3 linked regions of the Xenopus tropicalis genome follow. The protein of the gene in region 1 interacts with the protein of each later gene in a pairwise test. Links are inferred from orthologs where the notes say so. Each region holds a gene or a part of one and is shown in the gene's direction. Other genes may lie near its edges. The genes, in order: stx5, stx3 and ccdc155l.

The links.
Region 2: the proteins of stx5 (region 1) and stx3 interact in binary tests that used the Homo sapiens proteins (3 or more experiments, as listed by UniProt). The link is inferred for Xenopus tropicalis from reciprocal best matches to the Homo sapiens genes STX5 and STX3.
Region 3: the proteins of stx5 (region 1) and ccdc155l interact in binary tests that used the Homo sapiens proteins (3 or more experiments, as listed by UniProt). The two-hybrid records come from large-scale screens. The link is inferred for Xenopus tropicalis from reciprocal best matches to the Homo sapiens genes STX5 and KASH5.

What each region holds. Positions count from the first base shown.
Region 1 is NC_030680.2:36,549,481-36,553,141, reverse strand, and holds part of stx5 (syntaxin-5), read left to right. Parts: intron 1-1,562; 5' UTR 1,563-1,576; coding exon of another isoform or gene 1,577-1,708; coding exon 1,709-1,771; intron 1,772-1,879; coding exon 1,880-1,950; intron 1,951-2,323; coding exon 2,324-2,379; intron 2,380-3,258; coding exon 3,259-3,329; intron 3,330-3,661. UniProt on the Homo sapiens protein: Mediates endoplasmic reticulum to Golgi transport.
Region 2 is NC_030683.2:60,542,399-60,546,059, reverse strand, and holds part of stx3 (syntaxin-3), read left to right. Parts: intron 1-2,520; coding exon 2,521-2,594; intron 2,595-3,054; coding exon 3,055-3,192; intron 3,193-3,452; coding exon 3,453-3,563; intron 3,564-3,661. UniProt on the Homo sapiens protein: Potentially involved in docking of synaptic vesicles at presynaptic active zones. Apical receptor involved in membrane fusion of apical vesicles.
Region 3 is NC_030683.2:112,424,083-112,426,986, forward strand, and holds the end of ccdc155l (lymphoid-restricted membrane protein), read left to right. Parts: intron 1-940; coding exon 941-1,101; intron 1,102-2,034; coding exon 2,035-2,233; 3' UTR 2,234-2,342; downstream 2,343-2,904. UniProt on the Homo sapiens protein: As a component of the LINC (LInker of Nucleoskeleton and Cytoskeleton) complex, involved in the connection between the nuclear lamina and the cytoskeleton.

The sequences.
Region 1 (3,661 bases):
CTTGGTCATACATGGGCAGATAACATAACACATACAAAGCATAACATCATGTCTGAGATCAAGACTGGAGTTTTACATAAAAATGTATTCTGATGCATGTAATGCAGTCAATGCTGTATGCCAATATTCTTAAGAGCATCCCTTGGTTTCTTTTTATTGGACTACTGAAAATCAAAGTAATTAAAATGTAATGTATTGTTGTGCATTTGCTTCAGAAACTCTACTATAGTTTATATAAACAAAGCTGTTGTGTAGCTATGGGGGCAGCCATTTAAACTGAAATAGGGCTAAATGGTACAGTTTACATATCCGGTAATAGATAAGCACTGTAAAACATCATTGTATTCTACAGAGCTTATCTGTTATCTGCAATGTAACCTGTGCCTTTTCTCCTTTTTTCTTGCTGGAATAGCTACCTCCATGGCTATACAGAAACTTTATTTATATGAACTATAGTAACCTCTCTGAAGCAAACACACAGCATCTTGGGGCAAAAGTATATTACATTTTATTACCTTAAAACACTTTCATTTTTTAATGTTACTTTAATGGTTTCCATTACCTTGTTATGCTTATTCTCTTTTCACTTATTCCTGACTGCATTAGTGTACATACCACATGTTTGTGCGCTGTCTGTTTTAGCTCTTGGCACTCCAGGCATATTAGTGTGGTCTTTAATATTCATTTTAAAAATGTTACTCTACATTGAGTGTTTAAATAGAATACCCCTTTTCAGATTGGGATGGTGCATCTATCTTGTCAGCATCGTTTTGGGAATTTCTTTCCTTCAGTGTAAATAGTTGTAGGATATCCAAAATTTGACCCCACACAGTTGCCTGTGATCCTCTGTTAAACAGCCTTCTTCTCGTAGTATGCCTGCTAAATACTGCATGAGGTAGCACTTGCTGTCTTCATTCTTTTTGTAATAGGCTAAAAATGCTGAGCTGCGTGTTTTTTGATTGGCATTCTGCATATGTAATTGTCATAAAATGTAATTGTTTACATTTTAAGCAAAGAGTGTTTTTTTTCCTCTGTGTGATTTTCCATGTCTGTTTTGAGTAGGCTCCTGCCAGTATCAAGGTTCCATTATTGGCTGTCCATTTGGGCTGCTTTTATATAATGTCAACAGATTTCAACTTGTCTTTGAAAACATCCTGTATTGTTTAGTAAAGTAATTTCCTAGAGAATTTTTTATTTTTTTTTTTGAAAATTAATAAAGATCATTTTAAAGAAATTATAGTAATTATTGTGCGTACACAGGCAGGTATAAGCTACTGCTTTATTCCTGGGATTCTAGCTGTATTTATATATTAACATTTACGCCTGTGGTACACAAGACTCTCTGGGAGGAAGTTAAAATACTTTTCTCTGCCTGCAGGAGCTTTGCCAGTTCAGCCATTGGCACTGTTGTGCCAGCTGTTATAATGCCTCTTTCACTTATCACCACAAAAACACATGCAAATGTGCATAAATCCATAATATATACAATCCGTTCAGTAGCTCACAACCCTTTAAACTTTACTATATATTCTCTGGATTAAACCTTTTTATTTTTCCCACAGCTGGTCCTGGCCCCATGAACGCTCGTAAACGTCTCGGGTCCCGTAACACAGACAACGGAATATACATAGGACCATCCCAGACTCAGGTCCTGGTTCCTGCTTCAGAGTTTCCTGTTGCTCCTCTTCCAGTTCCCCCAGCTGACATCATGTCCTGTCGGGACCGCACTGCTGAGTTCATTTCTGCTTGCAAATCTCTGCAGGGACGCCAGGTTGGCAATTGATGGGGGAAGAAGAAAATGTCTTTGGGGTCTGGGTAAAAGATATTCACATGATGAAAAAGTAATTTACGATTTAAATATATGTTTGTTTTTTTATAGAATGGTGTACAGTTGTCATCTCCGACTCTAAGTGCTGTTAAGCAAAGAAGTGAATTCACCCTAATGGCCAAGTAAGTAGAAGGTTATGTTCCATCCAGTCATCTCACTTAAGCCAGCAAGATGTGGGCTGATGTTCATTTGTAGTGCTTGTGTTGCTTTTCACCCTCTAGTTATAACGATATTGTGGTTTTACTCTAATTTGTAAATCTTAGATTTTCAGCTTTAAACCTGTGCATAGTGCAAAGTAATCTCTCTGCTGTACCATTAGATGCATCACTCCATTTAACAAAACAAGACTAAGGGGCAGCCCGTAATCAGGTGTTAGTAATACAACTTATTATGGGCTGCCCCTTTCTCTGTTAAACAACCCTTGTGTCTTGTGCTTCTTTCTTTATACTCTCCATTTTATTGATTCCTTTTTCAATTATTGTTTTTCAATTGCAGACGCATTGGAAAGGATCTCAGTAACACATTTAGCAAACTGGAGAAACTGACAATATGTAAGTATTTAACACTTCTGCAATTAACCCTGTGTGTGTGTGTATGTGAAAAGAGAGAGCAAAAGTTTTTATAATAAAATTCTGTTTCAGCGCAAGTGATTACAAGATCACATAAAAAATATGAACTTGAGTCAGGGCATTCAAAGGTGATCATCTACAGGCCCAACCTAAAAGGTGTCCAACAATACACATAGTACCTCTCTGACCAAATACATAGATGACTGCATTTTATTATATCTGCAGTAAACGAAGTTCCGCATTTATTCCACATTCAGCTGCATGGTGCATTAGAAGATTACATATTCAGTTTGGACCTATTGCCATCCCCCAGTGATGCTGGTCAAGAAAGGTTAACAGGCAGTATGGGCAAAGTTGTTTAAAGCATCCAGGGCATATATGGCTTGCTTAAGTTGTTTTCAGTCTTAATTGAGGCTTTCTGCACACTGCTGATTAATGTGTGAATCTTAACCAAATGTGACTGAATGTAGCCACAGCTTTATCCCTCTGACTCTGAATCAGATTATTCTGGTTATAAAATAAATTGGTATATATATATACACACAAATACATACTAATTATGTAGGAGCAGTTAACTAGATGCAGGTAACTACAGCGTTTTCAGGCCCAAAACTGCATTTCCAGCTGAAATATGCTGTGTGTTGCTGCACCTGGGCCAAAGCAATGCTTTCAGGTGCAGGCACAATTTTTAGATTTTAAAAAAGCGTAGGGGTGGATCATGGTCTGCATTTACCCGCAGGCTGAGAATCTGTCCCGTGGCACTAGCTTAATTTTTGGAAATATTTTCTGTGGTACAGAATAATTACAGCATTTAACCACATTTTCATTAAGATGATTAATGACAATTTAATTATTTCTCAGTGGCAAAACGAAAATCACTTTTTGATGACAAAGCTGCAGAGATTGAAGAATTGACCTACATAATTAAACAAGTAGGTATCTGGGTGTACAGCTTAGATTAATTTCAATGCGTATGTGCAAGTGACTTGAACTCTTTAAATCAGGGATCCCTAACATTTTTTTACCCCTGAGCCACATTCAAATGTAAAAAGAGTTGGGGAGCAATAAAAGCATGAAAATTGTACATGAGGGTGCTAAATAAGGGCTATGATTGGCTATTTGGTAGCTCCTATGTGGGCTTGGAGCCTACAGGAGGCTTTGACAGTGGCAGTACACTTTGGTTTTAATGCAGCCAAAACTTGCCTCCAAGCCAGGAATTCAAAAATAAGCATCTGCTTTAAGGCCACTGGGAACAACATCCAAG
Region 2 (3,661 bases), on another chromosome or scaffold:
GGGCAACAGTACATTATATTTCATTTACTTTAAAACCCTTTAATTTTTTTGGTGTTACTGTTCCTTTAACAGAATAAAGAGATGAATGGTGGTAAAGTACCTGGTAAGTCCAAAGCACACTTTCTTATCCCCTTTTATACAATGTTCAAGATCTGCTGGGAAGTACATTTGCAAAATATACCACTGATGCTATATACTGTATGTTCTCCATCTGTATGAGGAATTGGCCAACCAACAAACACATTCTAATATTTAAAAAAAAACAATCTTAAGGTTACATGTTAAAGGGAAACAAATGCTTAACAAAAAAATTGGATACAAATTATAAAAATTCTGTTTTTTTTACAGGTATATAATGCAAGGGCCAATATTTGTTCTTGACACAGTAGGGCCCATATTCACAACTAATCTTATTCAAACATTTTCCACAGCTTTCCACAAATTTGGGCATATATTTTTGAAAAAAATCATATATATATAGGTTAATGATGATCACAGGTCAGAAAAAAATTGTGGGAAAAGCTGTAACCAGCATTTTCCTGCTTGCCGAAATACTGAAGATACACTTCCTATTGCTTTCTATAGAATCTTGATTGGTCTTAGCTAGCGTGGTTAAAGCTTCCTTTTCCTACAATCAATCGTCTTCTAATAAAACTCGCAAAATTATAGAATTGCTGCACACATTCCCACCTTTGACCATGATATTTTTTTGTGGACTTGGAGGCTGATGACCCATACAAATCTCTGCTATTGGGACTTCCAGATCTCACCCGTCTCTGACTCTAATCCACCCAAATCTATTAATATCATCGCCTGCCGCTTGACATCCTAATCCCTACTTCTCTACATTACTGTGAAGTGACATAAAGGGCATTCCTTGAAACTATTAACTAGGGATGCACCGAACCCACTTTTTCGGGCTGAATCCTGAACCTAATCCTAATTAGCATATGATGATTAGGATCGTAAGGGGTCGCAAGCAGTGAAAACATTTTTTTCACTTCCCATTTAACCCTTTCCAAATTCTAATTAGCACATGCTAATTAGGATTCGGTTCAGCCGGGACCACAGACTCGGCAGAACCTGAATCCTTAAAAAAAAAGTCGGGATTCAGCCGAATCCTGAACCGAATCCGGGATTCGGTGCATCCCTACTATTAACAACTGACAGGTTTAGGCAAGCCTTTAATAGCAAAAGGAAATATTGATGTGAAGTGAAGAAAATTAACTAACAGGTGTAGTGAGGATGTGTAATTCTGTTGAATTATGACTTTTAAAAATCATAATAATTACTTTTAAACTAATAATTATGATATTTAAACTCATAATTATGACTTTAAAAGCCAGAATTTTGACTTTAAAAGTCAGAATTTCAACTTTTTAAAATCATAATTATGAGATTAAAAGTTATCATTTCGACTTTTTATAGTCATAATTTCGACTTTTTAAAGTCATAATTATGAGTTTAAAAGTCTTAATTATCACTTTTACAAGTCATAATTCACCAAAAAAAAAATTTGTGGCCCCAGTGCTCTTCCGTAGATGTGTAAGTAAACGTATACCTAAATAATTTGACATATAAACTGAACAAAGGAAAACTGCTGAGAGAAATATATGAAGCCAGGAGGTAATATTAATAGCTGCGAAGTAATGAAAAAACTGAAATCAGTCAAAAAGTAAGAATTGTATGCTTAAAGGGATAATGTCATGATTTCTTTGGTGTACTTTTTATTTCTAAATTACACTGTTATTCTTAAACCAAGAAATGTATTTTTTTTAGTTGTAACATTGCTGTGTAGGCGCCATGTCAGTGCATTGTGCCCGAGTCTGAGCTTTCAGAAGGAGCCAGCGCTACACATTTGAACTGGTTTCAGATAACCTATTGTTTCTCCTACTTCCATATAACTGGAGGAGTCGCAAACCGAACTTGGATTTCTTACTATTAAGTGCTATTCTGGTATCTACTGGGAGCTGCTATCTTGCTACCTTCCCGTTGTTCTGCTGATTAGCTGCCGGGAGGGGGAGTAATATCACCTCAGCTTGCAGTAAAGGGTGACTGAAGTTTATCAGAGCACAGGTCATATGGTTGTGGTACACACGGAAATGAAGAATATGGCTAGCCCCATGTGAAATTTCAAAATTAAATATAAAAAAATCTGTTTGCTTTTATGAAAACATATTTCAATGCAGGATTCTGCTGGAGAAGCTCCATTAACTGATACATTATGAAAAAAACATTTTTCCCATGACAGTATTCCTTTAAATAAGAATATGAAAAACATTATTCCTGTATTTTAAAGCTTTTTGGATAAGACATTTCTGGATAATAGATGTCATACTTTCTTTGTATAGTACAATTTTGTGCCCACTATTTTTGTATTATGTAGCTTTAATTAAAAGTTTTTAATTAAAGGTTTAATCAAAACAGTTTACCTTTTTTAACTAGATTTGATATAGATAATCTATATATAATCAGTCAGCGGTCTTAATTTTGTTCTTTTCACTTTGCACCTCTCTCCAGCTGGCAAAAGTACCACAGACGAAGAATTGGAAGAAATGTTAGAAAGTGGGAATCCTAATATTTTTACTTCTGGGGTAAGAAAGAAACTCTGAGGGGACCTTTGAATTTTTGCTACTTTTCTGCAACTTTTACAGTGCAGACTTTTTATTTCAGATTTTTTAGTAAATGCCAGACATTTATGGAAACAAAAAAATTAGAAATGTTAGAGTTTTAGTAAATCTGCCCCTGAGTATAGAGAAGAATTATTACAATTTTAGAGAGGGGATTGAAAAGGAGAAAAGAGTTAAGCCTTTTGGGCAAGAAAGAAGTTGGACACACCATTGTAGCTTAAGGATTTATTTTGAAGAACTCTCTTTACCTTTTGTATGCATTAGTTTTTTAATGTGAATTGTATACTTGATTAAAACACATTTTTGTTGTACAGCACTGCTTAATGTGTTAGCACATTTAAAAGCATTATTGTTAATAACAGTTATGAGAACATTTTTTAGTTTTTCATTATTCTTTTTTTTTTTCATTTTACACTTTTCACAGATAATTAATGACTCACAAATATCACGTCAGGCCCTAAGTGAAATTGAATCCAGACATCGAGATATTGTACGACTGGAGAGCAGCCTAAAAGAGCTCCATGACATGTTTATGGATATTGCAATGCTTGTGGAAAACCAGGTAACCCAAACGTGGATTGTGATTTGATATTATGAAAGGACAGGAATATCAGAACTAACACATACACATATTTATTGTCTCAAAATGCAAATAGAATTCTAAGCTATTTTATATTTTCTACCCTTAATGCTATGCTTTTCATGGATACTGAGACTTCTTATAGTTCAGGTAACTACAAAAATAAAGATTGTGCATCTGTGCATATTGAGAATCTTTCACTGTCCCTTACTTTTAATAATCATTTTATTTATTTTTAACAGGGTGAATCTTTAGACAATATAGAGTTAAATGTTATGAAATCTGTGGAACATGTGGAGAAAGCACGTGAAGAAACCACAAAAGCTGTGAAATACCAGAACAAAGCACGTAAGGTGAGAAGGGACACTACACAGCATATTTTAAGACAAACACCTAAGAAGAAAAGCAGGAGTAGCTTGACAAGAGAGAAAAGACTGCACAGAAATGATAT
Region 3 (2,904 bases), on another chromosome or scaffold:
TTTATATTCACTTATTTATATATTTATTGATAAATAATCAAAAATATGGGAAGTGAAGTACTGAGGTCTCGCTTAATTATCTGTCAACTCCCCAAACATCAACCAACATGGTGCATCAGCAGAAGACATTTCCAAATGGAACTGATCATCTGTGATCAGACGGCTGGATAGTATGGTCAAACTGCCGACCATATCATATCTGGCCATGTGTTCTGACCATTTAACCAAATGTTCTTTCACCATTGTCATTGTTCTTATGTGCAATCAATTGTTCACAATACTTTAACCTTCAGAGGCCTCAGTCGCTGAGATTTTGAGGTAAGAAAGCTAAATCTGGACATAAACAGCCTGGCATTGACTGCTGACTTATTGGTTGTGTATGGCACCAACATTCCAACCTCCCTGATCAATACCTGATGAGACTGTGGATGTGGCCCTCCTCTGATCTGTACAGGGCTACTATGTATTCATATAAAAATAGCCCACTCCCTCCACTCTGAGTTGCCATCACTGCATGGTCCTTTCTTTACGTCTCAAGCCCAGGGCAACTACCACTATTGGCCACTCCTAAGGATAGCTCTGCAACTAAGCCAGAGTGAGTTGAAAATATACATTTTGTGATATTGTGCAATATTTGTAGATATCTAAACCATGAGAAATACAACATTATTCCAAAACTGTTTGCAAACCATTACGTTAACAGAAAAAGTAGAATCCATGGTGCTAACATAAACATACTATTATGCCAGCACCACAGATTCTACATTTGTACACTTTGGTCTATGCTTCATTGTGTGGTCTGGCAACCTGTAGCGCTGCACAATAAAAGCAGCTTGTCACTGAAAGGGTTAATGCAACAACATGGATATATTACCATATCTTTTAACCAAATATGTTTTTCTCTTGTCTGCCACGGCACATTCTCTCCTTAAAATCCAAGCTGTATGAGCAGAGCGGCCACTTCCTGCTAGAACTGAACTACCTGCTTGAGCTGAAGAATGTGTGGGAAAGGCAGTGGGGCAGGTTGGGCAGAGCCGTGCAACTGTACACAGGGAAGGAGGCCAAGGAACCAGACAGTGAGGAGCTCCCTGCTACTGAATGGTATATCTTTGGAATATGTGCCTGCTGCATAAAGGCCAACCTCACTTTATGGTTCTTGTGTTCAGCAAACATCACATGTTCCCCCATTTTGGCGCTATCTGAGCCTCCAGATATAAATAGAAATGTATTTTCTTTACACAGACATAACTTATTCCCCAGATTGAAAGGACGCCAAGATAGTCTGTCTCTGCTTGCAGGGATGAGTTTCCCACCCCCAACCATGACCTTAAGTCTCTCTGCTTTCCAGAGAATCTGTGCACCTCCCATTATTAAAAGCAGAGAGACTTCAAGAGACCCAGAAACCATCACTTCCCAGTGGAACACGGGGGGAGAGGTTGCCTTACACAGTCAGGCTAAGCCATGTGGAGAAATGGTTTTTTAGAGTATCATGGTTATGGGTTAGTAAAGTCTTTGCATGTATGGCAGCCTTGATTCTTTTATTGTGTATTTAGAAAGGTTAAGGGTGAAGACAGACATAGTTACTAGTAGCAGCTACTTGTCACGGCTACTTAAATAGACAGTAGTGATCATTTACTGATAATTGTCTTTAGGTGAGTTTTAGCAGAGGCAATTCTCAGTATAGTCTATGGCAGGATATTTTCTGGCATTTAGGGCAAACACACACGGGGTGATTAGTCGTCGTGACTAATCGCAGCAACTTTTCTGCCATAGAATAGTAGTCGCTGCAAGTAAACGCTCGCGAGTTTTCACTATGCAGATTAGTCACTGCTACTTGACTAATCACCCCGTGTGTCTTCGCCCCTAGTAGCTGTGAAAAAAAATGTAATTCTAAGTAAATATCCATTAATGAAAAATGATCAGTGGCTTTAAAGTTATGTGTAAGATTTTGAATTAAATTTTCTTTTGCTGTGCACTGTTTTTGTGTGCCTTTATTCTGTGGTACTCACCTATTGCCTCACATCTCCTGTTCAGGTTATGCACTGATACTCTGCACACTTCCATAGTGCCCTGCATACAACTGCAGAACAAGAGCTCACTATGGCTAACCCTGATCCTTCTTGGCACACTGATGTTTTGCCCAGCGTGGGCAGGGGAGCACATCTGGACTGTACTGAAAGCAGAGATATGGCCTCATCTAGACTTGCACTACCATTCTCCACCACCGGTTTGAAAGAGGTGCCAACACCACACAGCTACTAGCCAATGATAAAGAAGAGAGCAAAAGCAGCATTTTATCTTTATATTTCTGTTATTTTAACATCTTAGTTATCTTTATCTTCCATTGTTCTTATATTGTTGCACTTGTGTCTGATCTCTGGTAGGAGTTTTACAATAGTGACTGACACAATAAGAGACTAATGTGCTAATGAGCTAGGGGAAGTGGGACGAGAGCTAATTAATCCTTTGGGAGGGATGCAGCATTTGGCTATGGTTCTTATGGCAGGGGGTTGTGGGAGAATGTGATGGTAAAGAACTCAGTAGCATTCACACACTGCCACAGGCTGCACCCTCTCAGCCGGACAAGGTAGTTTAGCCAAATAAATGCCTTAATAAAACACCTTAAAGTGACAGTACCCCCCCCCCCTTTGTTCCGCTGGTATGCAATGAATAGGGCTTGTGCTAAGCATACTTTTATCTATTGTTTTAATCAGGAAACATTTTTTTTTCTTTTTATTTCTTGAGCTAAACAGGGAAACTGAAATGACTCCATGTTTGGTCCTTGCAAAGTACATCATTAGATTCCCAATGCACAGATAAGAGCCGTGGTAGATGGGGAGATTAGTCGCCCACGACAAATCTCCCTTGTTGCGGGCAACTAATCTCCCCGATATGCCATCCCAT